Linked DNA regions of Tamandua tetradactyla. The protein of the gene in region 1 purifies or fractionates together with the protein of each later gene. This does not show direct contact. Links are inferred from orthologs where the notes say so. Each region holds a gene or a part of one and is shown in the gene's direction. Other genes may lie near its edges.

Region 1 (7,548 bases):
CAACTCACTACCTTCCCCCTGTCTATGTGGGACATGACTCCCAGGGGTGTGGACCTTCCTGGCAACGTGGGACAGAAATCCTAGAATGAGCTGAGACTCAGCATCAAGGGATTCAGAAAAACACTAGAATGAGTTGAGATTTAGCATCAAGGGATTGAGAAAACCTTCTTGACCAAAAGGGGGAAGAGTGAAATGAGACAAAGTGTTAATGGCTGAGAGATTTCGAACAGAGTCAAGAGGTTATCCTGGAGGTTATTCTTATGCATTAAGTAGATATCACCTTGTTATTCAAGATGTAACGGAGAGGCTGGAGGGAACTGCCTGAAAATGTAGAGCTGTGTTCCAGTAGCCATGTTTCTTGATGATAATTGAGTAATGATATAGCTTTCACAATGTGACTGCGTGATTGTGAAAACCTTGTGTCTGATGCTCCTTTTATCTACCTTGTCAACAGATGAGCAGAACATATGGAATAAAAATAAATAATAGGGGGAACAAATGCTAAAATAAATTTAGTTTGAAATGCTAGTGATCAATGAAAGCAAGGGATAAGGGTATGGTAGGTATAATTTTTTTTTCCTTTTCTGTTTTTGTTTTATTTCTTTTTCTATTGTCTCTTTATTTTTTCTGAATTAATGCAAATGTTCTAAGAAAGGATGAATATGCAAATAAGTGACGATATTGTGAATTACTGATTATATATGTTAATGTTTTATTTGGTTTAATTTTTTTAAATAAATTTTTAAAAATGGAAAAAAAATCTGCTCTATAACTTCTTGTTAAAATGTACTTGGAAACTTATTGCCTTTCTGTACATATGCTATATTTCACAATAAAAAAGAAACATCAAAAAACAAAAAAACAAAAAAACAAACCTATCAGCCCAGAGAGGGCTCCCCGAGGCCCCAGCCAAGCCAGGAAGGTTCGGGGAAGGGGAGCCTCACTTTCTGCTCTTGAGCCAGCAGCCCACAACGGCCCAACCCAGGCCCAGCGTGTGCGCCCACCTCTGCAGCACCTGTGCCTGCTCCGCCAGGGCCTCCAAGGCCACCCACAGATGGCCACCCAGCTCAGCCTGCTGCCACCTGCTCTCCGCCAGCCACACCCGCAGGTCCTTCTCTAACCACCTCCAGATCCTCTTGGGGGCCCTGCTGGGGCACCTGCCAGGAAGAGGGCATTCAGGCTGCAGCCAGAGCCCCAGGGGGCTGCTGCGCCCACCTTCCTTCTACTCACCCGCATGCCTCAGTGGGGCTCAGTGGATGGACACCATCCAGTGACTGGAGGTGACAGGAGTGCCAGGGACAACAGGTGGGACTGGGCACCAGCTCCATGGGTTCTACCTTGGTGGGTTCGCAGAGCAGGGCAGGCCAGAGACACTGGAGCCGGGCAGCCCAGGGCTATCGCCCCTGAGGGCGAACAGGCACTCAGACCCTCCACCTCCACGCCCCCCAGCCCAGGATTCTCTCTGGTGAGTCAGGCTTCAGAAACTCCCCTGCCTCAACCCCACTAAATGGTTCTTTAATTTTCCGTGAGATGCGGGTGCTGCCAGCAGGTGAGGCCACTTGCTGAATAAACATGATGTCATTTAAACCTTGCAGGTAAAGACTCTGAGGACATGGGACAGAAGCTCAGAAGCGGGGTGTCAGTTGCAAGAATTTCACTGCAGAGCTGGGATTCCTATCCTAGCCTGTCTGGAACCAAAGCCCACACTTCCCCCATCCCTGCTGCCCCTCAATGCTCCCCTTCCAGGTGTGGGGTCTTGAAATGGCAGGGGTCAGGGAAACATTTGCAGCCAGCATAGTTTAGCCATGATGTGGTGGTCATAGGCCCCCAAATCAAGCCCCCTGCTCTGGTTACCTCTGTAGCTTCCACAGCTTCCGATGGGGGCCCTGACCCCATGTTCCAGTAGCTTGAGGTGGGAACTCATGGTACAGACAGGGGTTGCTAAGCTAGTCTTGCTCCACCCACTCCTTCTCACCCCACCCACTCCTTCTTTTGGGTTTGAGTCCTACCATGGTCCCCTCCCTTGTTCCTTTCCCCCAGGTACCAGGTACCCAGGGAAAAGTGAGCGTGTGGCAGGGTCCTGGAAAGCCATCTTCACTTGAGGGGAGGGGAACACTGAGCTGAGCTCCCCCCTGCCCAGCCCACTCCTCTCATTCCCAGGATGGCACCAGCAGCCCCCAGACCCTCTCCCATCTAGTCCCAACTCCATGCCCGCATTCCCACAGCCCCCTCCTGAGTTGTCTCTACTTCTCACCACCACACAGGCTTCTCCACAATGGACCATGAGGACTGGCCCCAGCCCTCACTGAGAACCTGCCCTCCACTTGGCTGGGTTCTAGAGGGGCTCTCCATCTGCTGGGGAGACGGACATGCATAGGTCAGTCTGTTGAGTTTGGAGACCAGCCCAAAGGGACAGCACAGCCACTGAGGGACCAAGGCAGAAGCACAAAGCTATGGGGGCAGAGGAAAGAGCCGCTTGACTCTCCCTTGGGGTTCCCAGCAAGGCTTTCAGGGGCAGTGACCCTAGGGTTGTGGCCTGAGGGTGAATTAACTACTCCCAGAGAAGGCAAAGATGGTTGCAGCAGAGGAGAGAGGACGAGCAGCACGAGAGGGGCTCAGAGCAGCTGGGGCTTGGATAGGGGAAGGAGGAGACCAAGAGGGGCAGGGCTGGGCCCTAGAGAGGAACTATAGGGCCAGGTTGGCTGAGGGAGAGGAACAGGGCAAGGGTATCTCCTGAGCATCCTTGAGTCCTCCTGCCAACCCAGACCCACACAGAAAAGAGATTGGGTCTGAGGGGCAGGTGGATATGAAGCAAGCCTCCTCTGAGGGTGGGCCACCCCCTGAGCTCCTAGCTGTGAGTTGCCAGGGTCTCTTGTCAGGTGCCAGGCAGTCAATGAGCACTGGAGAAATGACTTCGGTCTGTCAGGATGGGGTGGGGGTGTTACCCATATTGCACCTCAGAGTAAATCTTTTTCCAGGTACCTATCTGATACTCTGGCTGCAGAATTGGGAGAGGGAGAGCTGCTTAGTTACTGGGAGACAGAGTTCTCTATGGTGGGAGGCCGACTTACCCCTCCAAGCCTGGCGCCCAAGGCAAGGCTGTGGACAGGAATCTCCACCATTCTCAGCTGCTGGATAGACTGCGGCCTAGCTCCCAGGAGCCATGGAAACCACGGGCAACATTAGCTGGTGGGAGGAGACGCCACAGAGCCCTCCCACCTCGCCTGAGGGGATGAAAGCTGGCTGGTGTGGCCACTACAAGGACCCGGCGGCTGGGAAAGGCATCTCGGGGCACGCGGGAATTTCAAAATCCCGGCCCCTAAGCAGGACCCAAAGCAGCAGGACCTGGGACGCGACCGCAGGGCTCCGGGTCATTCACTGCACGCACACGAATCAGCAGCCAAACATCTATCCTGGGACAAAGGAATGCGGACGGGCGGGGCGGGGGGAGCATCTGATTGGAAGGGGACCCAGGGGCCGGTCTTGAAGCTGCCTTTGCGTCACAAGCATCCCATTTTTACTGAGTTTCCTGGGTTTATTTGGGGTGCGGGGGGTGCTGCCAACAGATCTGCGGTGTATTAAGCACTTCCTCTAGCCATGCTGTCAGACCCCAATTTAAGAGGAGCAAAAGGGGAAAAACTTTTAAGACCGCAGTTACGGAGAGGGAGGATCTCTTCTCACCGCGCCTGTCGGGCCAGGAAACCGCGCCCCCACGCCAGGAACTTGACCAGTCCTCTTGAAGGGGCGAGGCCAGCACTGCAAGGATGGGGAAACCCTTGCTACCCCGAGGCAGTGGGGGTGCCGAAGCTTGGAGGGATAGCCCGCCTCGCCCGCTCAGGCCGGGCGGGGCAGGGGGGTTCTAGCCCCCGCGTGGCGTCGGGGCAATTAAGAACCACTCCCTTCAGCTGGGCTGCTGGACGCCAGCGAGAGCCCGGAGGCGGAGACGCCACAGCCTGCCCAGACCCGGCGCGCACGCTCACAAACCGTGAGGTCTCCCGAAGGACCCCGACCTCGCTTTTCTCATCTGGAAAAGAGGGCTTCATAATCCCGCCACGCACAAAGCGATGGACGGTTATTGGGAAGCGTTATGGTGATCTCACACTCGCGGCCCCGCAAAAGGGGGATGTCGGAGAAATGGCCAGGTTTATAAACAGAGAAACAATGTTGGCCGGTAGTGAGACGCTCAGAAGGTGCTAAAAAGAAAAAGAACACCCCTTTCCATCCCAGACCCCGGCCCCTCCAAGAGGCCCACCACGTGGCCCTCGAGTATTTTCCCGGGAAATTGGTCTGCGTGCAGGTACGAACTTCGGCATGCCGACATTGTTTAAGGCTCCCACCCAGAGAATGATTCTCCCTTTGCTTCTTTTCCCTCACCCGGAGTCGCCATCGCATTCCTTAGCCTCTGCGCTTAGGCCTCCATCTTTCGCGCCCTCCTTTGCCCCGGGGCCAAGCCACGCCGACCGCCGCTCAGCTCGCCCAGTTTTCACTGTTCGCACAGGGAAGGGGTCGGCGGACACGCGCGAATCGGTGCGCGAGAGCAGGCGGAGCTCCCTCTGCGGAGACAGCACACCTGGAGGGCCTGAGAATTTACGTGCATCGCGACACGGTATGAGGCGGGGGGGGGGCCGCGACCGGAGACGCACCCCCGGCTCTCCCGGAACTAGTCTCTGCAGCGCTGCAGTCAGGACCCGGGAGGGGGAGGCGGGTCCCCCAGAGCCTTCGAGTCAAGGGCTAGAGCGGCCGAGTCACCGAGCCGGGTAGAGTCGCGGCTGGCGGCGGCTGCGTCACAAGAAGGGCGGGGCGACCACGGGCGGAGGCCGGAGCCGGAAGCGGAAGAGGCGCTCAGAGCGGGGAGTGGGGCCTAGCCGCAGCGGGAGCCTGGGAGACGGTGAGTGTGGGCCCCGGGCCGCCGCGGCGGCGGCTGCAGGGGCAGTGAGTAGGGCGGGGGGATGAATTGGGCAGGGCGAGCCCTGGGTGCGGGTCCCCGGTCTCCCTGTTGGGTCTCGGCCTACTCCTTTTCTTTCTCCTCCGCCTTCCTCAGGCCGCAGCCCCGACCTCTCACCCCTGACCCGCCGCCTCCCCCACCCCGGGGGGAGGTCGGTCACTGCGGACCTCGACCTCTCGAGAGCCCGAGGGGTCGGAGTCGGAGCCAGAGCCAGAGCGGCCTCTGAGGTCCCCTCTCCCAGCTTCTGCAGGGATCCAGTTTCGGCCCTGTGCCTGCCTGCGGAATGGGATCGGAGTCCGACCTAGGATAGCTGGAGGGGCCTTCAGACCCACCCTTTCCTGTTCTCCGATTCACAGACCCCTCCTCTTGCGGCCTGGAGTTTGATTGTGGCCCAGGCCAGCCTTCCCTGCTACCCCTGCGGTCCTCCCTCGGCGCCATTGCCGGCGGTTACAGGGGATGGGGCTATGAGATCCTTGGGACCTGGGGCGGCAGGAACAAATGCGAGCGAGGGCTGCAGGCGCCTCTCCGTGTTTTGTTGTGGTGGTGGATCCGCTCCAGCCCTTGGGGAGGGGCCAGGCCAAGCCGACCGTACAAATGCCCGGGGTGCTGCTCGGCCGAGGAGTCTTCTGTGCTTTAGTTCCGGGTGCGGGTCCCCCAGTGTGGACCTGGGGTGGGTATTGCCTGAGAGAGGCCCCTGTCGAGGCGGAATTGGCGGCCTTCCAGCTTTCCTCCTCCGTGCCCTTGAAAAGGAGGAGCGTTTCGCCCGGTGGTGGCGGCAGCTTGCGAGGTGGCAGGTTTGAGGTTGCAGTGGTAGGGCAGAGCCAGCCAAAAATAACCATGGGGCGTTGGGGTGGCTGGGATCCGGGAGGAGAGCCGCTGACCTGGCTGGCTGCTCTTCCTGTCAGCCCAGTTCTCTGGCCAGTAGCTGCAAATGAGAAGGCGACTAGTAGGCCTTTGTTCAGAGAACTGGCATCCTCTACCTGGTTTTCTTTAGCAATCCCGTTTTCACCGTGCAGAGCAGAGCCTCCTAAAGCCTAATTGTACCCCTTAGCCATAAGCAACCTGTTGGGGTCTCAAGAGAATCAGAGACAGTGGATAAAGAATGGGTCCTAGTGCCCTTACTGGGAGGATGAGGAGGGGGAGTTGGCTATTTCCAATATCTTACCTGCCTAGAATGTGTTAAAGGAGAGATGATTGCCCCTATCATTGCCTTGGTGTATGGTACATTATACCTCTCATACTGTCCTTTTATTTGCCAAGTTGGCTGGTAGATGTTGTTATCTCCATTTTCCAGGTATGGTAACTAAGGCTTAAAGTTACTTATATACGGTCATGAGGCCAGTAAGTGACAGCTCTGGGATTTAGTTCAAGGGTTTCTGCCTAGAGCTTTCTCTCCCCAAGTCCCTTAGAAGGGACTCACAGAATGTTTTAATGTTCCTAAGGCATTTAAACACAACCCAAAGTGTTAACCTAGAACTTTCTGCATTCTGCCAATAGTAAGTTGCCTGCAGTGCCTTTTGTGGTCCCAGACCTGTGCTAGGCCCTTGACTTATAAGAGAGCTGCATTCAATCCTTACAAAAGCTTTTGAGAGATTATCATCCCCATTTTGCAAGGGGAAGCTGAAGGTTAGAGCAGTTAAATAACTTGCCCAAAGGCACACAGCCAGAAGTGGCAGTACCAGGATTCAAACCGACACCTGAGTATGCTCTTTCCACTAATGTAAACATGTGTGTATATATGTATTTTCTAGGTGCCAGGAGGGAATTTTTGGCCTGGTATGGACTGGACCAAGTCTTCTGGTGCTTTGCCTGCCCAGTGAGGATAAGCAGGGTCACACTTGCCTTGTGGGAGGGCCTGGCATATCTTCCTGTCAGTTAGTGAGATGTGAAATGTTTTCATTCCATAGCCTGGGCAACTGCCTCCAGGTAATTGCAGGAAAAGAGTGAAATATTAGTCAGCTGATCATCAAAACAGGACAGGAATCTAAGCTCTTGGGGAGGTGCCAGTGAATTCACATAGTATTTTATCTCCGAAGATTAATGAAGCTGGGCCAGTATCACCTCATGGACTCCAGGTAGAGAGGGGCAGCGGTTGTCTTAGGATCACAGAGAAGCTCCAGGGGGTTTGTCAGATCTGCCTTGCTGCTGTTCCATGCTGTTTTCCTCCTGACAGATCCTTTTGTTGAAATGGGGCAAACTCAGTGGTTTTGGCCTAAAGTAATGCTCAAAGGTGAGCACAGGACTGAGCATGCCTGGAGGGTAGCTCTGGCCAAGTGAAGGGTTGGAAAGGAGGCTGGCCTCTGTCTCTGGCTTGGCCTTCCCATGGAGGCAAAGTCAGGATTTTGGGTGTGGGTGGGACAGAGAGCTCACATCACATAACTACCTTTCTCGGCTGGTGACTGATTCAGCCTGGTGTTCCCAGTGGTGGATATAAGTCGCTGCTGAATAGAGATAGTGGGGTGGAGCCCTTTTGGCCTGCCTCCCTATACAGACAAGCCTGCCAGACAATCAGCCGCTTGGATACTCCTGAGGTGGCCCAGGAGTGGATCCTAAAGCAAGGGCGCTAGATAAGGGGGCAGTAATGGAATGGTGGAGGCAAAGCG
Region 2 (7,604 bases), on another chromosome or scaffold:
ACTATTATGGTATATGTGTCTATTTCCCTTTTCAGTGTTTGCAGTGTATTCCTCACATATTTTAGGGCATTCTGGTTCGGTGCCTAAATATTTATGATTGTTATGTCTTCTTGTTTAATTTGTTTCTTTTATTAGCAGATAGTGTCCTTCTTTGTCTCTTTTAACTGTTTTACATTTGAAGTCTAATTTGTTGGATATTAGTATAGCTACTCCTGCTCTTTTCTGGTTGTTATTTGCATGATATATCTTTTCCTAACCTTTCACTTTCAACCTATGTTTATCTTTGGGTCTAAGATGTGTTTCCTGTAGACAGCATATGGAAGGATCCTGTTTTTTAATCCATTCTGTCAGTCTATGTCTTTTGATTGGGGAATTCAATTCCATTAACATTTAGTGTTATTACTGTTTGGATAATATTTTCCTCTACCATTTTGCCTTTTGTATTATATATATCATATCTGACTTTCCTTCTTTCTACACTCTTCTCCATACCTCTCTCTTCTGTCTTTTCGTATCTGACTCTAGTGCTCCCTTTAGTATTTCTTGCAGAACTGGTCTCTTGGTCACAAATTCTCTCAGTGACTTTTTGTCTGAGAATGTTTTAATTTCTCCCTCATTTTTGAAGGACAATATTGCTGGATATAGGAGTCTTGGTTTCAGTTTTTCTCTTTTAGTAATTTAAATATATCATCCCACTGTCTTCTAGCTTCCATGGTTTCTGCTGAGAAATCTACACATAGTCTTATTGGGTTTCCCTTGTATGTGATGGATTGTTTTTCTCTTGCTGCTTTCAAGATCCTCTCTTTCTCTTTGACCTCTGACATTCTAACTAGTAAGTGTCTTGGAGAATGCCTATTTGGGTCTATTCTCTTTGGGGTGTGCTGCACTTCTTGGATCTGTAATTTTAGGTCTTTCATAAGAGTTGGGAAATTTTCAGTGATAATTTCTTCCATTAGTTTTTCTCCTCCTTTTCCCTTCTCTTCTCCTTCTGGGACACCCACAACACGTATATTTGTGCGCTTCATATTGTCATTCAGTTCCCTGATCCCCTGCTCAAGTTTTTCCATTCTTTTCCCTATAGTTTCTGTTTCTTTTTGGAATTCAGATGTTCCATCCTCCAATTCACTAATTCTAGCTTCTGTGTCTTTAAATCTACCATTGTAGGTATCTATTGTTTTTTCCAGCTTTTCTACTTTGTCCTTCATTCCCATAAGTTCTGTGATTTGTTTTTTCAGTTTTTCTATTTCTTCTTTTTGTTCAGCCCATGTGTTCTTCATGTCCTCCCTCAATTTATCGATTTGGTTTTTGAAGTGGTTTTCCATTTCTGTTCATATATTCAGCATTAGTTGTCTCAGCTCCTGTATCTCATTTGAACTATTGGTTTGTTCCTTTACTGGGCCATATTTTCAATTTTCTGAGCATGATTCGTTATCTTCTGCTGGCGTCTGGGCATTTAATCAGATTTCCTTGGGTGTAAGACCCCGCACGTTGAAAGATTTTTCTTTGAAATCTCTAGGCTCTGTGTTTCTTATCCTGCCCAGTAGGTGGCACTCGTGGCGCTCATCTGTCTGCGAGTCCCACCAGTAAAAGATGCTGTGGCTCCTTTAACTTTGGAAAACTCTCTATATGGGGGGGGTCACCAGCCGAAGTGGCTTGGGGAAGTGCCAATCCGAATCTCCAGCCGACCCGGGGGTCCGCACGCGGGGAGGGTCACCGGCCTCCGCGGTTTGGGGGAACACCTGTCCAAATTTCCCAGCTGGTCTGGGGCGCCAAGTGTGGCGGGGGGGCGCCAGCCGCTGCGGCTTGGGGAAGTGTCTATCTACCATTCCCAGCCGGACCGGGAAGCCACGTGTTTGGAAGGGACCCCGTTCGCTGTTCTCCGCGGCTTGGGGATCTCCGATCCAATTCTCCCAGCTGGTCCAGGGGCCGCGCGTGGGGGTGGTGCCAGCCGCCGCGGCTTGAGGGGACCACCTGTCCAATTCTCCCAGCCAGCCCGGGAAGGAGGGAGGGAGGGACCCCGGCTGCCTGCCGCCCCGGCCCGGGGAAGCCCGCGCCCCTCGGCGATCTCACCGGAGCGTGTGCTTCCACCCAGTCAGCCATTCCAGAATGGGGTACGCTGTCTTCTTGGTCTGTGTTGTGGCTCCGGGAGCTGTTCTGAATCGTTTCAACTTCTCTAGTAGCTGTTCTGGAGGAGGAACTAAGACCTGCGCGTCTTACTAAGTCGCCATCTTCTCCAGAAGTCCTCGACATATGGTAACTTTAATTGTTTGCAGAACTAGCAGACTGTTTTCCAAAGAGGCTGCACCATTTTACAATACCATCAGCAAACTATGAGAGCTCCAATTTCTCCACATCTTTGACAACACTTGTTATTTTCTGTCTTTTAAGTTTATCCATACTAGTAGGTGTAAAGTAGTATCTGGTAATATTAATTTGCATTTCCTAATGACTAATAATGTTGAACATCTTTTCGTGTATCACTAGCCATTTGTGTATCTTTTTTTACAGAAGTATCTATTTAAGCATTTACCATTTTAAAAAATGACTTGCCTTATTTTTATTGAGTTGTAAGAGTTTTTTAAAAAATATATTTTAGATACAAAACTCTTATCAGGTGTGATTTGCAAGTATTTTCAGGGTTGTCTTTTTATTTTCTTGATGGTATCCTATGATGCACAAAAGTTTTTAATTTTGATAAAAGTCCCATTTATTTTTTCCTGTTTTGCTCATGCCTTTGGTATAAAGCCTAAGAAGTCACCACTGAATACAAGGTCTTGAAGGTTTCCCTATGTGTTTTTTTTAGGAGTTTTACAGTTTTAGTTCTTACATTTAGGTTTTTGATTGATTTTTAATTGAATTTTGTATATGGTGTGAACTAGAGGTCCATCTTCATTCTTTTGCAAATTGCTGTCCAGTTGTCGCAGCACTATTTGTTGAAGAAACATTATGTAATGTTCAGTGAGTGGGCATAACATCTTTGTTAAAGAGTAGTTGGCCAAAGGTGTGAGAGTTTATTTCTGAACCCTCAAATTCTATTGGTCTATATGCCTGTCCTTGTGCTAGTACAAAGCTGTTTAGTAATAGTTGTTTGTAATAAGTTTTAAAATAAGGAAATGTGAGTCCTCCAACCTTGTTCTTCTTTCAAGATAGTTCTGTTGATTCTGGGCTGCTTATTTTTCCCTATGAATATGATGTCTAGCTTTTCCATTTCTGCAAAGAAAGTTAGACCACTGAATTTTTAAAACATTTTTATTGTGAAATATAACATATATATTAAAAAGCATTAGATTTCAAAATAAATTTTAACAAGTAGTTATAGAGCAGATTTCAACGTTTGGTATGGGTTACAGTTCCACAATTTCAGGACTTTCCTTCTAGCTGCTCCAAGACACTGGAGACTAAAAAGAAATATTAAGGGTGGGCCATGGTGGCTCAGCAGGCAGAGTTCTTGCCTGCCATGCTGAAGACCCTGGTTTTGATTTCCCAAGCCTGCCCATGCAAAAAAAAAAAAAAAAACAACAACAAAAACAAAATATCAACACAATGATTCAGTAGCCCTACCCATTTGTTAAACCCTAACTTCCGTGTTATAACTCCTCCTTCTCCTTTGATCCTTCTCCCAATCTTTAGGGATATTTGAATTATGCCCATTGTAACATTACATGTTGAAAAGGGTGTGGACAACATGGGATGGGGGATGGAACTAGTTGATGTTCTTGGAGAGACTGGCATCTCTGGGTTTCAGGACTTAACTGGCACAGGAAGTATCTGAAGGTTTTAGGTTTCTGAAAAGTAAACTTAGTGCATCAACTTTTGTAAGAGCTCAGATAGAGCCCTGGCCGTTCTTCAGAGTTAACAGGAATGATGTTGGCTGGGGTTTGGCAAATTGTAGCAATTAGCCATATCTAGCTGAAGCTTGCCTAAGAGTAGCCTCCAGAATAGCCTCTTCACTCATTTGAACTCTCTTAGCCACTGATACCTTATCTTTCCCCCCTTTTAGACCACTGATTCGGAAAGGTATGCACAAAACTACAATTCACTATGGAAATGATCCTAAAGATGTATGCAAATAAGTGCTCAGGAGTTCATAGCGTCCTGAGTAGTAAAATGAAAGGCCCCTTTGGGTGTAAAGACTTAAGTGGGAAAGGGGAGCGAAACAGGGATTCTAGATATTTTGCATTTATTTCAATGTGGCATCTATTTCAAATTTGAAAAAAATTATTTGATTAAAAATAGAGACAACGCACGAATCTGTACTAAGCCATGTTTCCGTTTCCAGTACAATGGACACTGGGGAGGGTTGAATTGACGCGCCTTATGCAACAGGCCAGGAAGGATTTCCTGATGAGGGAAGAGAAAGAGCTCGGATTCATCACCAAGGAGAGGAGAGCGGTTAAGGGACGGGGTGCACATCGGTCCCAAACCTCGAATCGGAGAAAAAAAACGAAGAACACTAAAACCAAACCCTTGCTTGCGTTCTTGAACCGGCAGGGTCACTTCCGGAAGGAGGCGGGGAGACACGGAGGAGGCGTGTCGGGAAGGAGTCCGTTCGCAGTGCACAAGGCGGAAGTGTGCCAAAGGTATAGGTGTCGCCGCTTCCGGTCCGGGTAAACGCGGTTTAGGAACACTCCGAGGTTTTTGTCAGGCGGCGATAGATTTCTGAGGGAAAGCTAGCGGGTGAGGAGTGGGGCATCAGCGTCCGGACTCAGAAATTTGGAGCCTAGTGGGAGAATCGGGGAAAAAAGGGCAGGAACCTGAATACGGTCTCACTGCTGTTTCCGAGGGGTCACTTTCCATTGGGAACCCCTCTGCCCTGGTAACGGCCAAAGAGGAGGAGATGGCGCCAGTCAGGGAGCGGCCGTGGCCGAGGCAGTGAGGAAACGCGAAGGCGGAGCTACTGGAGAAGCCTCAGGAGAAAAGCCACAGCCGTCGCTGCCGCCACTGTTGCCTCCACCATGGAAGGGACAAAGCCGACGTTGCAGCTCGTGTATCAGGCAGTGCAGGCGCTTTACCACGACCCAGATCCCAGCGGAAAGGAGCGCGCCTCCTTTTGGCTTGGGGAGCTGCAGCGTTCGGTGAGGGGCCCAGAGAGGCCGTTCTGTGCCGCGGGGCATTGGTGAAGTGGGCTCTAGGCTCGAGGGGGTAGCCGCTGTCTGGCAACTGGCCTGGTGAGGTCCTCTTTGGGGAGGAGCTGCTGCCGCGGGGTGGGGCTGCGAAGCTACTTATTGCTGCTTCTCGGAAGCTAATCGCAGCTGGTCGGTCGGTCGGTCGGTCGCGAACTGGCCCTTTTCTCACCCCGTAGAATCTGATTTGTGTGTCCTATCCTTCTTGCTTGTGACATCGATCTGGTTCTCTAAGTTCTAACCTTACTGTTTCTTAAGCCCTGCTTTCCCGTTTTGTCTTCCTTCAACCCAATCCCATCTCCGTCTTTTTCTTTAGGAATGTTTTATCAGCCTCTTCTCCCTACCCGTGTGTTGCATCTGGCAGTTCCTTCCCAATCGTTACCTTACTCACACCTTACTGTTCTCCTCGATTCTCTCTCTTTTTTTTTTAGTAAAATACAACTTTAATATTGAACTATTAAGCAAATTTTCCAAAAACCACCTGAACACAAAGGAAAAGAAATTCTTTTAACCAAAATACCATTAGTGTGGACTAATTTTAACCGAAAGAACATAAGCTCTTTAAAACACCAATTTTAATCTGATAATAAAACAAATTTTAGAAGATATATGCTACTAATCACAAATGTTACCTGTTAAAGTGTTCTTATGGGAAACTAAATGTTTGAAACAAGAAACTCCACCATTTAGAATCTGACACAAATTAAATGTCTAAGAAGTCTCTGGATATCCCTGCAAATTTGGGATAGAAATGAATATGATGTCAGTATTTTTATTGTCAGTATCTTCCATACAATAATGAGGTTTGACCTTTTTCTAATAATGTGTATTTATAATTATTTTCCTGAAAATGATGAAGGCATTAAAAACATGCATGCATTAACTATTCAATCTTATGGTACTCTTTAAAGATGAGTAGGTAGGCTAGAATCATTTTCCCTTCTCAATTTTGCTGTGCTATGTACTATGTATTATCCATTGATAACTTGTTACAGGTCTTTAAAGATTTTATCATTTGGTTTGGTTTTCCACATCACACTTCTTGATTTAAAGGCCTCATCAAGCCCAATTGTCCATTCCACGGCGTTGTGGCCCAAATTATTATTCAGCTGCCATAAGTGATAGTTCCATTTCCATTCTCTGAGGGCAGAGTATGGTAGTCTTCTTGACTTACTGATATTGGGTAAATGTTTGTCACCACTTGATTGAATAGCTCAGGGTTCCTGGGACTTCTACTGCCATTTTCTTGTAATGTGGGCATATCAATAGCTGAATTGCTTTGTGCAATAAAGCGCTCACCTTTGGCAGTAGTAATCAAAGCTCCTCCTTAGAACTCCATTTGGAGGGCATCAGTGTTCCAGGTTACATGTCTCTTTTTCAGGCCAACCATTCTTCCCCTTCTTTAGGACATGCTGGATAATAGCATACCTGGTTACACTCTAAGAGATCTCTTACCACTTCAGTCATGGGGATGTAGAGTCCAAGGTCTGTAGGGCAGGCCACAAGCTAGTAGCTCTGATGAAGTTTCTCAGCAAACTCTCAGGAGAGGCTGGCTGGACAACCGTGGGAATTGAAGAGTCCAAAATCCGCAGAGCAGGCTGTGAAGCTGACAACTCACTTGAAGGGTCTGGATGAACTCCATAGGAGAGGCTCACAGGCTGAAGCAGGAAGGACTGTCTCTTCTGAATCCTCGCCTAAATTAGTTTGAGTCTGTTATTCTCGAAACTTCTCAGGTTTCCAGATTCTTATGCATATGAATTTCCCCTTGTTTTGGGGTGTGATACAGTGTAAGTTAAAAAATATCAATTCTGGTTTCAGAAAATCTCATTTTGCTGCATAGTGGTTTTCTGGCCTTTTCACTTCTCTGACTTTCAGGTTCTTCATTGGTAAAATGCGTATAATAGCTTCCTTGATTATTCCATAGAAATATTGTGAGCATCCACTAAGGCATTTGAGAAAAGTCCTTTATTACCTCTAATTATAACCTATTATATTAGTTGTTTCAGGTATCTTATGATTCCTCTCCCTGATTTTTACACTCTACTTTGCTGTCCTTTATTTCTTTGTGAGTTTGTGTTTGCAAAGTATCTTGGAAACTGAAGCGGCTGATACAAACCGACAAACTACTTTTCTTATGTTTGCATTTTATGCTCCCAAGAATTTTTTTTTTAATCCTCCTCCTCCCCTTTTTTTAAAACTCATAACTGGTACTTAAAATGCTCAGCTCTGGGTGGGCCGCGGTGGCTCAGCGGGCAAAGTGCTTGCCTGCTATGCCGAAGGACCTCGGTTCGATTCCCGGCCCCAGCCCATGTAACAAAAACGGAGAAACAGAATACAATAAAACAAGAAAATGTTTAAAAATGTTTCCCTTTCTTCCTTCCTTCCTTCCTTCTATCCTTCCTTCCTTCTCTCTGTCTTTCCTTTAAAAAAAAAAAAAAAAAAAATGCTCAGCTCTTTAAAATCAGCTCCTAGGCTGCAAGT
Region 3 (6,854 bases), on another chromosome or scaffold:
TAGACATTATCTACTTAGTTCCTATCATGGAAGGTTTAGTTGTCTTAAAGTGCCCCCCTCTCCTCCAAACATATACTTCTCCTCCCACATTCCCCCAATATGCTTCTATAAAAAATTTTTTGTTGGAGGAATATTCAGTGTTTATATTGTTGTGACTATAAATTTTACTCACAATCGAGCCACGTCACATAGTATGATTACTATGATTACACTGTTTCCTGGCAATTTTTCTCTCTTGAATTTATCAATTGCCTTTCCCCACCATGTGCCTAGTTTTCTATATTCCTATCATGAATTTTCACCACTCTTGAGAAGTGTAAATCTCCTCACTTTCAGTCCCACTAGGTATGCTATCATATTTTTTGTTTGTTTGTTTTGCTGACAGTCTTTCTAGGGCCCTCTGTCCTCCTATGTCCTCATCTGGACTGGGTGTTTGTTAGGCCTGCTCCATTGCTGTTATTCTGAAATGACACTGTGGGCATTCCCTTTGTTTCTTTCTTAGGTTGTCTACCTGCTTTCTGGATCTTAAGTCTTTCTTGTTTTACTCTCTGCATTAGCCATAAAACATCCTCCAGTAACTTCCACAGAAATGGTGCATGGCAAGTATTTTTTTTCTTTTTTAGAGCATACAGGTGAAAAAAAAACAACTCATATTTCTCCCTCACAGTTGATTACGGTTTGCCTGGGTGTAGATACCTAGGTTGGGAACCACCCTCTTAGAATTTTCAGGGCATTACTTGTCTCTGGTGTTTTGGAGATATTCAACACCATTACATTTCCTTATCTTTCATATGCAACCTATTTTTTTCCCCACTCTTTAAGAATTTCTCTTTGCCCCATGTGAAACATCTCATGAAATTTCACAATAATGTGCCTGGCAGTGAGTTATTTTTCATACATTGTGCTGGGCCATCTGAGTTTGGAAACTCAGGTCCTTCAGCACTAAGAAATGTTCACATTATTTCTTTATTATCCTCTTTTTCCCCCCTGTTCTTTCTGGAAATCCTACTGTTCAGATGTGGGATCTATCCTCCAACTTTGTTATCTGTTCTCTCCTATTTCCATCTCACCCACTCAAATCTTTATGCAGTGCATACTATATGCCAATCATTGTTGTAGATACTGAGGACATAGAAGGAAGCAAAACCGAGAGAAATCTCTGACCTCTAGTCAAGGAATACAGATAATAAGCAGAATAAGTAAGTAAATTATAAAGTATATTAGAAAGGGATAAGTGCTGTGGAGAAAAATAGAACAGGGAAAGAGTTTAGGGAATTCAGAACACGTGGCTCAGTAATTTTAAATAGGGTGATCAGGAAAGAGCATACTGAGAAAATAACATTTGAATAAAGACTGAAAGATGAGGGCAGCAGCCATGTGCTTATCTGAGAAAGAATGATCCAAGTAGGAAGACGAGGATACACATAAGCCGAAGGTGGGGCAGGCAAAGGCAGAAGCAGACCTGGTGTGTTTAAGATATAGTCAGGAGGTCAGTGTGTCCAGGGAAGAGGGGAGCAGGGGGACATAATAGACCGTGAAGTCTAAGAGGTAAATTGGTAGTGGTAGGTGGACTTTATAATGTGAATGACATGGAAAATCACTGGAGGGTTGGAGTAGGAGACTGACTTTTTATGAATCGACTGACTTTTTTTTTTTAACAGGATCACCACAGCTGCTGTGCAGAGTATAGGGAGCAGGGATGGAATCAGTGAGAACATTTAGTAGCTACTGCAATAATTCAGGAGAAAGCAAAGGTGGCTGGAACTAGGGTTCTTTTATTCTGTTTCCTGGGAGAGTTCCTTAATTTATTTTCTAACCCTTGTATTGCATTTTTCATTTCTACTTAAGAATTTTTAATTTCCAAATATTCTTTCTTCATTAATGGATTTTCTTTTTCTTTTGCTCCCTGATGTGATCTTATGTCTCTGTGGATATCATCACGATTCTTTTGATGTATTTTTCTTCTACTCCTTTCATTATCTCTGGTTTCTCTGAATTGCTTTTTTTTTTTCTTTTAGTGTGTATGTGTGTGTGTGTGTGTCATTCCTGGTACAAGTTTCCCTCAAATACCTGGTAATCATAGGAAGGAGGCATTAAAGAACTGGGTGGAAACTGTGAGTGGGATTTGCTGACTGATTAGCTTCTCTGTGGGATAAATGGGTAAGAACATGTTCTTTTTTATAGGAGGCATCCCTCCCTCACCATTGCTAGTACTTGTACATTTTTTTCCCCTATGCCAGTCAATTTCCCCATAGAGGGATCCTCTGGTCTTTTGCCAGGATTAGAAACCCAAGTGCCAGGTCTCTCTAATCAAAATGTAGGCTTTCACCTACTCCTTCCATTTTTTAAGCACGGCACTCCCTCCCTCAGCTGTGCCAGACATGTCAAAGTCCAGAGTCTCTGTTTCAGCCCTTCTAGAGAGTAAACTTCCAGTTTGCTCCTGGGGGGAGAAGGAGATATAGGTTTTAACTGCTCTGTAAAATGCCTTGCAACCAATCCTCTTGTTTTCAGCCTCATCCATACCCTCACCTTCTGAGGTACGTGAAGGTTTTCTGGTACTTCTCAGTGTCAATCAGCTTGTTTCTTGGTTTCCTCTATTTTTAGCTTTCTTTACTAGAGCCATTTCCATTTCCTATGTTCTCTAGCTTCCAAAACTTGGTTGACATCTCATCTGCTGTTATCCCTTCTGATCTCTATACATATGAACTCATGCCCTTCTCATTCTTTTATTCAAATATCATTTTAGTGGGGTTTAGAGAGGTAATGGAGGCAAATGTGTGGTGTGTCTATATAATTCAATCTGTGACGTTTATCCTCAAGTTTCTTTACAGCGTTCTGTGTGTTCTATCTCCCATTAGATGGGGAGCTCTTTTGACTGTTTATAATTGTTTGGGCTGGAGTTGGGGTAGGGCAGAGGGTAACAAAGGAATAGAAGATACACACTCTTCCTCCAAACATTTACATTCCATTTGACTTTTTCAGGGAAGGGTAAGGGCCATTTTTTCCATTGTGTGATTTCTGTCAGCCACCCTTTTTCAAAAGCAGCGATGTCCTGCCAAACCTGTGTTTTGTGTATTTTGGCTAAGGGTGTTGGAGGGCCAGGTGGAGTCACCAGGAAGGTCATAGGATGGGAAAATCTGATTTAATCACACAAAGTCGGTGCTGAGCAGAAGCCTAGAGATTATTAAATTCATTTTTCTTAATACTGAGGCCCAGAGAACTTTAATTGATTTGGATCAACTTCAGTCCTTTAAGAAATAATACTTATCTCAAAGGGTTGCTCGAAAATGCCAAGCTTTTTCCCGTCATAGGACTTTTGGGTCAAATATTCCTTCTGCCCAAGACCTTACAAGGCGGGCTCCTTTCTGACCCTCAGGACAAAGGTCGTTTCAGAGGTTTGTCCCTCTCATCACTGCACTCAGTTTCATTTTTTTAACAACTCATTAAATTAAATTTAAAATTATATAATGATTTTATTAGTTATCTGACTACACCCATTGGAATGTAAGCCCTAAAAGAGAAGGGATCTTTACAGACTGTCACCGTTTTAGCCCTCAGAGAGAACTGGGATTCGAAACTGAAGTCTAGCTCTAAAGCCTGCGCTTGCATCCACTACTTCATGCTGCTGACAATAAAGTAGAGGGTGGACCTCGCATACACAGATGGCTAAAAGAAGATTTCACACCGGACAGACAGGCAGGTGGAAAACAGCCAAGCCCATCCGCACCTCTGACCTTTCCCTCCGGAAGCTTTAGTAGCCTCGAGCGCGAGTACGCACGCGCATCCGCCGAGCTCGCTCTGGGTCGTGCACGCAGCAGGGACTTGAGGGAGGGTACCGCCTGCGGAGCTTGAAGGCGCCTGCGCAGCTTGAAGGCGCCTGCGCCGGCGGGTCTCCCGTCAGGACGCGCGTTCTCGTTCCCTCCCCTCTCCCTTGCTTGCGCGCGCCCGGTGGGCGTAGGAGGAGGCGGGGAACTGGGGAGGAGAGCGGAGGGGGCGGTGTTGCCGTGAGGAAAGGAGCGAACCGGAGAGTGTCGTCCTGAGAGGAGTGAAGGCGGCAAAATGGCGGACCGCTTCTCCCGCTTCAACGAAGACCGAGACTTTCAGGTAAACACGGGCGCCGCCGAGGAGCCGGGGAAGACGCGGCCGAGCCCGGAACCTCCTTCATCCCCGGCTCCCAGATCTCTTTCTTTCCAGGCTCTGCTCCGGCCTCTGAACCGACTCGTTCTCCTCCCGCCTCCGATTCCTCAAGGGGCCTCCCAGCTTGAGGCGAGGCCGCATCTCATCTCCGTGCATTCTCTTACCTCTTAAAACTCAGGCCGCCAGCTCTGCGGCTTGGGCCTTTTTGGGCTTCGAGTTTTGGAACTCCAGCCTTGCGAGCTGGGTGAAGGGCTGTGTTTCTCTCCAGTTTGCCAAGTCTGTGGGGTCGCAGGGCTGACTCGTAGGGGAAAAGAGGGTTGAGAAGGTTTGCGGCGAGTGCTACTGAGGCCTGGGCTCCCAAACCCTTGGATTTTGCTCACACGGATCTTCTTGGGGGTGCTTCTCCGCTCCTCTCTCACTGTAATAAATAAATCCATTTTATAGCCTTATTTTTCCATTCCGCACCCGAAAAGAGTGTCTTGGTTATCAAAGCGTTCTTAGTCAAGCATTGAGATTTCCCCGGGCATAAATGTTGCTGTTGTTATTAGGCTGTTAATTGGGTTTGAAAAACAGTAAGTTATAGGACTACAGCCCATGTAAACTCGATCAAGTGAAAATCCTACCTTGAAAAAAGATTTGTAATAAGCATTATGATAGTGGGCTTTCCAAGCTTTTAATAACTAGTACCAAAAGCTTGATTTTTCTTTCTTCAGTTGCGGATATTGGTATGGAGAAACGTCCTTGCAAAAATTGTTGAGGAAAAAATTCTAGCCAAACTAGAATAATTCATCCTTTGGCTGTTTAAAATACCTTGCTGTTACAGAGCATCGTTACCGTGGAAATCTGGGAGACTAAAAGAGATTTAGAGAAATTGGGTACTTCTGGGATAAAATATGTCCTCAGGGTCTCAAAGAAACAACTGCATTACTGCTGCATATCCTGGCAACAACAATTTGGGTCAGGGGATGAACATCAGAACTCAAGTTTTTAATTCCACTGCAGATCTTCCTCAAAGCAACATGGGAATATGCTACACGTGTTTCAAAAGGCAGTTTGAGGGATTTGAATTTCCTGAGATGATTGCATTAGTACATAGACAGGTAAAGCAGTCTAGCAGTTTTAAACTAATATACTGTTAACTGTCTAGTACATAGATGTGAAGTTTAGCGGCAATAAGGGATCTGGGGGCTGTTGAAAAGCTTTATGATCATGTGCCTGTTGAATAGCTGCAGAAAATACAGGGTCTCCAGGTGTTTAAAGGGTATAATGCAGGTCCAGCTTAGTTTGAAGCAGTTCTGATGCCTGAAAAAGGTTATTTTTAGCAAGTACGGTAAAGCATTAGACTGCAAGGTGTGGACTTTATTGGTAATTTTTAAAGAGACAGATTGATAACCCAAGTGCTTATTAGAGGAGAGAATTTCAAGGTGACCTAATAAAATTGAAAATAGGTAATGTGGGCAATTAAATTTTGAGGAAAAATGGCTGTCAACCACAGGATTCCAGCAGGCTTCAAAACAGAACAAAACATACATACACACAGGATTAGCAGGGCCTTGAGAGAAGCTTTTGAAAACTGAATAGCAAAATATGAATGCTATCTCCTGGGAAATGGGAAAGATTAGCTTCTAGCTTTACAATACCCAATTTCTTGGTAAGATGATCCTCTGGTGCTGATGCTTTAGTTGGGTTTATGTCATGTTGATCAGTTGGAAAAATGTTTTTTATTCAGACGTCCTGCCATTATGGATAAATTGGGTATTGGGAATGGAAATCATTTAGACAGTTATGAGATATTAAAACTTTTATAAGTTATTGTGCTAACACTTATAAAAACATTCATTTAAAAATACTTAAAGTGGTGTTTTTTTTTCCTGAGGAATATAGATTGACTTTCACAAATGATGTGCCTTTATTTACAGTTCTTGGAGAGGAGAATGTGATGTAATAGGACATATCTGCATATAGTGTATTTGAAACATTTTCAAGTTCAGGTTATTCAAAATTAAATGTGACTTTCTTTTAAGTTTTTAAGTGGTAAACAAGGTGAAGCTACTGACTATTGTGGCTATTTTGTTTGTGATAATAGACTCGGAAACAAATCCAAAGTTCGTTTCCAAACAGTGGTTAGATCTTGTTGTTTTAAACAGATCTTACAGCACTGGAAATTTCCCTATACCGTCTTCTCTGGTAAGTTCTAAATGACTCTTACTTTGGGAAGATAATTTAGAATTTTAGGGTTTCATTCTTTGCCCATTTACTATCACGTGCAAATGCTAGAGGTTTTGAGTATTGTCTCATGTGCCAGAGAGGTGGGCTCATTGATTAGATTTTGTGAAATAACACCTAAAGTTGATTTCAGAGGTATTTTTGTATAATATAGCTAGAATCCTGTATGCTGCTTGAAGCATTTATTAATGGAGTAATTGTTATGGACATACGTAAAAATTTTTTTGATAATTATAATAATAAACAGGCACTGTTCTACAGGCTTTATGTGTATTATCTCATAATCTTTTCAATACCCCTAGGAGAAAGGTGTTGTTATTACTCCCATTTTTAGATGGAGTAACTCAGAGAGTTAAGTAACTTGGCCAAGTACACACAGCTGTTAAACGGCACAATCTGGTTATACTCTAGCATGGTATAAGCTAAAGACTCTCTGTTGACAATTGCTGTATTATCTCTGTTGACAATTATATATTTTATGTAGCTGTACT
Region 4 (7,491 bases), on another chromosome or scaffold:
AATGAATGATATGGGCAGGCAACCATGGCTCAGCAGGCAGAGTTCTCACCTACCATGCCGGAGACCCGGGTTCGATTCCTGGTGCCTGCCCATGTGAAAAAAATATGTATATAATGATGTGCTCTCATTAACAATGTATAAATTAAACTGTTTGAGGATTTCTTCCATTCAGGGTTGGAGGCAGCCTGTTGCTGGGTGAAACAAAACTGCATCTCCTAGTTTGTCTTTAGATTTTTTTTTTTAATTTAAAAAATAGCAATATATTTCAAAGCGTGGTATCACAATTAGTTGTAGAACAGATTTCAGAGTTTGGTATGGGTTACTATTCCACAATTTTGGATTTTTTACTTTTAGCTGGTCTAAGATACTGGAGACTAAAAGAAATATCAATATAATGATTCAGCAATCATACTCGTTTATTAAACCCTACCTTCTCTGTATAAGTCCACCATCAACTTTGATTTTTCTATCCCGTTCTTTAAGGGTTTTTGGGCTATGCCCATTCTCCCTTTTTCATGTAGGAAGGGGTTTGTCAATAACATGGGGTTGGAAGATTGAACTCGTTGATGTTCTGGTGAGGCTGGCCACTCTAGGTTTCAGGACTTATCTAGTCCAGGGACCCATCTGGAGGTTGTAGGCTTCTGGAAAGTTACCCTTGTGCATGGAATCTTTGTAGAATCTTATAGATTGCCCTAGGTGTTCTTTTTTTTTTTGGCAGGAATGTGTTTGGTTGGGGTTTGGCAAGTTATAATAGGTAGCAATGTCTAACTGAAGCTTGCGGTAATAGTGACGTCCTGAGTAGCCTCGTAACTCTATTTGAACTCTCTCAGCCATTGATGCCTTATTTCTTACACTTCTTTTCCCCATTTTGGTCAGAATGGAATAATTGATCCCACGGCGCCAGGACTGGACTCATCCCTGGGAGTCATCTCCTATGCTGCCAGGGAGACTTTGACCCCTGGATGTCATGTCCAATGTAGGGGAGAGGGCAGTGATTTCATTTACAGGGTTGGGCTTAGAGTGAGTGAGGGGCACGTCTGAGCAACAAAAGAGGTTCTCCAGAAATAACTCTTAGGCATACCTATAGGTAGGCTAAGCTTCTCCGCTATATCCATAAACTTCATAAAAGTAAGCCTCAAGGTCAAAGGCTTGGCCTATTGATTTGGGTGTCCCCATTGTTTGACACAGTATCAGGGGTTTCCCTGGTGGTAAAGTTTAATGGTTCCATATTTTTTCTCCCATTCCTCAAGGGACTTTGTCAATATTTTTTGATTATCTACTTAATATATTCTAGGATGTATCCAAGCATTTCATTAAGCTATACAGGGATTAAAGGCCTTCATCCTTATTCTGGATTCCCTTTGTTTCGATTGTTTACTTCTTTCTCTTTTTATTCTTTGAGTTACCCTTACTGGTACTCTTCAATTCTGTTCCTTCCTCCAGACCTCCCTCTCTGTTTTTTGTTTTTTGTTTTTGTCATTAATGGAGGAGTCCCTTTTATTTTCCCAAATTTTTGCAAAGTATTACATACTTGCACCTATAATATAATTCAGTAGAAAATTGTTTCTGATTGCCAGGAGTGAGTAGCACCAAAATATCTTTGGCTTATCTTTCTAAACTAGTGGAGTGATATGTCATTTTCAAGTTTTTTTTGCATGGGCAGGCATCGGGAAACAAACCTGGGTCACTGGCATGGCAGACGAGAACTCTGCCTGCTGAGCCACCGTGGCCTGCCCAATTTTCAAGTTTTTAAATCTACCCTTAAAAAGACCCATATTCCATTCTTCAAACATTTACTTTTTATAGTATTCTCTTTTATACATGCCAAAATGAATGTAATCTCCCTTTCCTGAAAGAACTTAATTTTTTACATGGATTTTTTTAAGATTCATAAATAAAAGTCAATTAAAATATTCATTCACATATCAGCATTTACTGAGTACCTGTTAGGTGCCAGGCTGAGTATTAGTGGGATGCATTAGCATAGCAGAAGCACACAATACACTAAATAAAAAGTGGAAAGGAACTTGTAAGTGATATTGTACCACTCTAGTAGGGTTATGACCAATTTATTACTAAGTCATTAGTCCATATTTTTTAAGCTCATCTTCCACTTAAATACAATTAATTTACACCCATATACTAAGAATGACATGTGGTCCAGGTATATTCAGAAAGCAGGGTTTTTTTTTTTTTGCCTTTCTTTGCAGAGATAGGATTTGAGGTGCTTTTTACTGATGATTCTTCTTTTCTTATTTGCATTTACCTCATTTGCTATCAGTGACTGTTCAACATGTTCTTTGAATATTGAGCAGAGCGGTTTGGCTGCTAAAATGATATAGGAGTTTTGGTTCTCAGGAGGCACTATGACAGCAAGTTTGTCTCTTCAGATATAAACTGATCGTTTTCTCCTGCACTGGGGACTTAAACGCTATGCCCTATTCCCATTTATACGTGAAGGCAGGCAGCTGTACAAGTGGAACTTGAGCCCAAATCACAGGGTGTTATAACATATGAAATTTGAATGTGGCAACTGTTATTCAGACCCGCCTCTCTTGTCTTTTTTCAACTGGCAGAACTCCCTTTAGTATTTCTTGTAGGGCCAGTCTCTTGTTGACAGGTTCTTTCAGAATTTGTTTGTCCGAAAATTTTAATCTCTCCCTCAGTTTTGAAGGACAATTTGGCTCGTTATAGAATACTTGGCTGGAAGTCTTTCCCTTTCAGTATGTTAAATATATCATACCACTGCTTTCTTGCCTCCATAGTGCCAGTTGAGTCTAAACTCAGTCTTATGTGGTTTCCCTTGTATGTAGTAGATTGTTTTTCTCTTGCCCCTTTCAGGATTTTCTACTTCTCTTCAACATTTGACAGACTGATTAGTATGTGTCTTGGGGAAGGCCTATTTGGATTTATTGTATTTGGAGTTCATTGAGCTTCTTTGACTTGCCTATTTATGTCCTTTATAAGGGTTAAGAAATTTCCCCCATTATATCCTCAACTAATCTTTCTAGCCCTTTAGTCTTGTCTTCTTCTTCTGGGATACCAGTGATTCTTATATTTGTGTGTCCATCATTTCTCTGAGATCCAATTAAAAATTTTCCATCTTTTTTGCCATTTGCTGTTTTGAGTGTTCAAAATTTGTTGTCCTGTCCTCTAGTTTGCTTATTCTTTCTTCCGCCTCTTCGGATCTGCTTTTGTGTGTCTCTAGTATATATTTTCTTTTTTTTTAAATTTTAAAAATTAAACAAAATTTTTTTTTACATAGGCAGGCACCAGGAAATGAACCCAGGTCTCTGGCATGGCACGCGAGAACTCTGCCACTGAGCCACCGTTGCCTGTCCTCTAGTATATTTTTTATTTGGTCTGCAGCATCTTTAATCTCTGTGAGATCTGCTATTTTTCTATTTATTTTTTCAAATTCCTCTTTAAGCTCTTTTGGTGTCTTCTCAGTCTCTTTGTATCATTAGCCATCCTATTTATTTTGTTTAGTAGAGCTGCTTGAATATGTTTTGATTAGTTGTTCCAAAGTCTGTGTCTCTTCTGGTGTTTTAATTAAGTCATTAGGCTGGGTTATGTCTGCTTAAATTATGATATGCTTAGTGGTTTTCTGTTGTCTTTGAGACATGTAAATATCTTGATAGGTTTACTTTGTAAGTTGATTTCCTTTAGTAGTCTAAAACTTTGTGTTGTGGGATGGATGTGGAGCAGGATGTGGGGCTTGGGGTGGGGCACAACAGTGCGGTGATGTGTTGCAGCTCAGGTATAGGCACAGAGCAGGGATACTACACTGGTGCCTGTGAGCATGGGGTGTGGGTCATGGGGTTGTGGAGGTGCAATGCAGGAGCTGATGGTATCAGGTGCAGCTCAGGCAGACTTCGGAGCACAGGAGCAGGGTGCAGCATGGGGGACACATAAGTAGAGTGCAGTGGGAGGTGGATGGGGAGGGTGTATGGATGTATGGGGGCTAGTGTGTAGGTAGGATATGGTGGGTGCGTGGGCATGTGGGGATCGTGGATATCAGGGTATAGGGTATGGTAGGTGGCACAGAGGTCAGGGCACCATGGGAAGTAGGGTGCGGGTGTGTTCTTGTGCAGAGGAAGTGGTCCAGTGGACCCTGGATGTGGATGTGGGACCAGGGTTGTGGGACGTGGTGGTGGTGGCACTGGTTGGGTGGTACCCTGGCGCAGGTATGCAGGTGTAGAAGGGTTCGAGCAGATGTATACGCATGTGCAATCTGTGGTGGCTATGTAGCACAGATTTGCCTGTGAGCATCTGCCAGGTGTGGGTGCAGGGCGCTTGTGCCTGGAGAGTGGCGCAAGTGTGCACATTTGTGGGGCAGGGGGTTGGGGTGCAGGGGTCAAAAAGTCAATGTATGAATGTGTGGGTTCCCAGAAGCAGCGAGGATATGGCTGTGTTTGTGCATAGGTCTGGGAAGTGGTGCCCTGGTGTGTATTGTTACATGGTGTGGGGCCTTTGTGTGCACATGCGCAGGGCTCAGGGGCAGTGGACTGGGGTTGCGCCTTTTTGGACTAGGAGTGGATGTGGCCCAGCTGTGCAGGTCAGCGCTTGCCTAAAGCTGGGGGTGTGACTGGTGGCCGTGCATATGCGTGGATCTGGGACGGCTGTAAATTGATGTACACATGCACAGAGCTCAGGGGGGCAGGGTGGGGTTGCGTGACTGTATAGGCTAGGGTCAGGTGTAGCCTGAGTGTGAAGGTGAGTGCCCACAGCCTTTATGAGCTGGCACCAGCCTGCATTGGCCAGGGAGGAAGAGGTGGTTTCTTGGAAAGTGCCAGGAGAGACTGTACTTGTGCTGGGGAGGTGGGTTGGGCTGGGGCAGAGCAGGGATGCTTGGAGCATGCGAGTGGTGGGCAGATGATAGGGTTCAGGTACACGGGGTGTGGAGTGAGTTGCAGATCGCATACTGCACCGGTGAGGGTAACAGGTTCAAGGAACACAGCTTGGCTTCCTTCCTGGTCCCTGTCTCCCTGTCTGTGCACTCCTGAGGACTTTCGCATTAGGCTGTTTGCACCAACCAGACATTCTCTGGTTCTCTGCTTCTCAGTTCTTCAGTTTTTGCAGTCAGGGCCTCCCTTTGTGGTGTAGAAGACCCTCCTAGGTCACTTACACCCTGGGATTGCTAGGTTGCTAGGTTGAAAGTTTCAGTTACTTTCTCGTTCCTTCTCTAACTGTTCCTTGGAGCAGGGTGAACCCGACCTGTCCTATTCTACCATCTTCCCAGAGCTCTCCTCTTTAGAATCTTAATTACAGTTCTCACTTGAAATTTTTTTCTTGTTTGTAGACTGTCCCATTATGGATGGAGGGGATGATGGTAACCTTGTTATCAAAAAGAGATTTGTGACGGAGGCAGAACTAGATGAACGGCGCAAAAGGAGGCAAGAAGAATGGGAGAAAGTTCGAAAACCTGAGGATCCAGAAGGTATATAAGCTTATGGTTTGGCATTCAATATAATGATCTTTAAACCTCACTACAGACGTGGAAAGTAAGTATTGATGTCCTCACTTTAGAGATGAGGAACTGAGGGTCAGAGGGGTGAAGAAACCAGTGGATGGCCTCCACAGCTGAGAGTGGAACCAGAATACTCATGTCTTTGTCCTTCCCACTCTGCTGTACTGCCTTCCAGGGGATTCTGCTGGTTATCCATCTATGCATGTGTACATTGTGGATACCTGTGTGGACTGTCAGTGTGTCGGATCCAGGGTCTGAACAACGGAGAATGCTGTTGCTGTGGAGGCTTTTATCTGGCCCTCATCCAGTTAACGGTTCCAGGCAGTGGGCCCTATCAACATTGATAGTTGGCTTTGAGAACCCTGGCCCTTCTCTGAGGTCCAAAGGGAAGCTATAGACTTTGTGCTATTTTTGTGTTATCCTTATCTTCCAATTCTGTAGAGAAGACTGGACTTTATCTTTAAAATCCCATGGTCCCAAAATAATGCAGAAATTCTAAAGTATGTATTTTTTTTTTCCTTCTCTCTTTCTCTCCCCTCTTCTTCCTTTCAGAATGTCCAGAAGAGGTTTATGACCCTCGATCTCTATATGAAAGACTGCAGGAACAGAAAGACAGGAAGCAGCAGGAATATGAGGAGCAGTTCAAATTCAGTAAGCCTCAGAAAATAGAGTCCAAAGGACTCTGCAGGGCCCCTCTGATGCACTTTTGCCTCATGCAATACTTTTTCTAACTAGCCATGGAATTGTCTTGTCTAGTCTTCAGATGCTCATTCTATAGAAAGGAGACAGCTTTCTGCCTTCTATACCACATTGAAATATTTTTTTTTAGAGCTCAAGATACCCATTTTAATTCTATGCTAATATCTTATAATCATGAGAATGACTTGGTTTTATGCCATCTTATCTATCCAAAAGCCATGGTGTTTACCAGTTCTTTCTTCTAATTCCCTGATGGATCTTCTGTTTATTACTAAAAAAAGGAAAATCTTATTTGGCTATATTTTTCCTTTAGACTTCTAAATGTTCCTTGCTTAATTATTTCCTCAGAAAACATGGTAAGAGGCTTAGATGAAGATGAAACCAACTTCCTTGATGAGGTTTCTCGGCAGCAGGAACTAATAGAAAAGCAACGAAGAGAAGAAGAACTAAAAGAACTGAAAGAATACAGAATATCCTTTGTACTTTGAGAGAAATTTGTGAAGTGTCACAGATACATGGAATGAGTCTGCTTGGTGATTTCTAAGGCCCCTTTCAACACTGATACTCCTGTGTCTCTGAATAAATGGCTGCAATTTGTGGGGGATATGTTGCATGCAATAAGAAGTCCATATCGTTTAAGATTAACTGAAGGCATAAATCCTGATAGTCAGCGCCAGGGTATTCTTACCTTGTGGACTTAGACCCTGAGACAGATGAATGATGAAATAAACCTCATCTAGGGGAAAAATTGGTTTCGGAGTTTTGAAAGGAAATGTTTAGTATCTCTCCTGTGTTCTTAATGAGACCTACCCCATAGGTACAGCATAGAACGGGGCAATAAATGTTTGAATAAATTAATGAATGAATGACTGAAAGGAAAGGTTAATAGAGACACCCTACCATTTTTTTCCTTTGTCAGGAAGCTTATTTGGATTTTTCACATATGTGAAATAGCCTCACTAGTATGATTGAACAGGTTTCACCTTTAAAACTGAGGATTCTGTGTATGTGCTAATTGTTAGTTTCTTGCAGGTAGGATATAATAGGTTCCATTAAAGAGTAACGTGGGAGAAAACATGGACAAATTTCCTAGGGACTTGGTTTAGATCAAGGTGACAGTGATTGAAATAAGGTGGCATCATGGTGCCACAAAACCCATTCTGAACTGGTAGGGAATGACCTGGCGTCCAGTCCCTGTTCTGCTAGTGGCTTTCTGGTACAACATTACAGTAGGAGTTGATGGAAAATTATATCACCTTCATGAATCATAGTTTCCTTGTGTACAAACGGTGGAATTGAGACTAATTTTTTTGAACCCCTTT

What was found.
Region 2: the proteins of CLK3 (region 1) and TNPO3 purify together in Homo sapiens (affinity purification with mass spectrometry; 4 studies listed by BioGRID and IntAct, counting the BioPlex papers as one, with this or other methods). This does not show direct contact. The link is inferred for Tamandua tetradactyla from reciprocal best matches to the Homo sapiens genes CLK3 and TNPO3.
Region 3: the proteins of CLK3 (region 1) and GPATCH8 purify together in Homo sapiens (affinity purification with mass spectrometry; 3 studies listed by BioGRID and IntAct, counting the BioPlex papers as one, with this or other methods). This does not show direct contact. The link is inferred for Tamandua tetradactyla from reciprocal best matches to the Homo sapiens genes CLK3 and GPATCH8.
Region 4: the proteins of CLK3 (region 1) and PSME3IP1 purify together in Homo sapiens (affinity purification with mass spectrometry; 3 studies listed by BioGRID and IntAct, counting the BioPlex papers as one, with this or other methods). This does not show direct contact. The link is inferred for Tamandua tetradactyla from reciprocal best matches to the Homo sapiens genes CLK3 and PSME3IP1.

What each region holds. Positions count from the first base shown.
Region 1 is NC_135338.1:67,430,617-67,438,164, reverse strand, and holds the start of CLK3 (dual specificity protein kinase CLK3), read left to right. Parts: upstream 1-4,545; 5' UTR 4,546-4,888; intron 4,889-4,894; exon of another isoform or gene 4,895-4,932; intron 4,933-7,548. UniProt on the Homo sapiens protein: Dual specificity kinase acting on both serine/threonine and tyrosine-containing substrates. Phosphorylates serine- and arginine-rich (SR) proteins of the spliceosomal complex.
Region 2 is NC_135327.1:170,509,766-170,517,369, reverse strand, and holds the start of TNPO3 (transportin-3), read left to right. Parts: upstream 1-4,590; 5' UTR 4,591-4,955; coding exon 4,956-5,075; intron 5,076-7,604. UniProt on the Homo sapiens protein: Importin, which transports target proteins into the nucleus. Specifically mediates the nuclear import of splicing factor serine/arginine (SR) proteins, such as RBM4, SFRS1 and SFRS2, by recognizing phosphorylated SR domains.
Region 3 is NC_135332.1:22,913,057-22,919,910, forward strand, and holds the start of GPATCH8 (G patch domain-containing protein 8), read left to right. Parts: upstream 1-3,842; 5' UTR 3,843-4,059; coding exon 4,060-4,104; intron 4,105-6,854.
Region 4 is NC_135342.1:50,863,301-50,870,791, reverse strand, and holds the start of PSME3IP1 (PSME3-interacting protein), read left to right. Parts: upstream 1-4,483; 5' UTR 4,484-4,539; coding exon 4,540-4,558; intron 4,559-4,716; exon of another isoform or gene 4,717-4,821; intron 4,822-5,302; coding exon 5,303-5,440; intron 5,441-6,022; coding exon 6,023-6,121; intron 6,122-6,517; coding exon 6,518-6,640; intron 6,641-7,491. UniProt on the Homo sapiens protein: Promotes the association of the proteasome activator complex subunit PSME3 with the 20S proteasome and regulates its activity.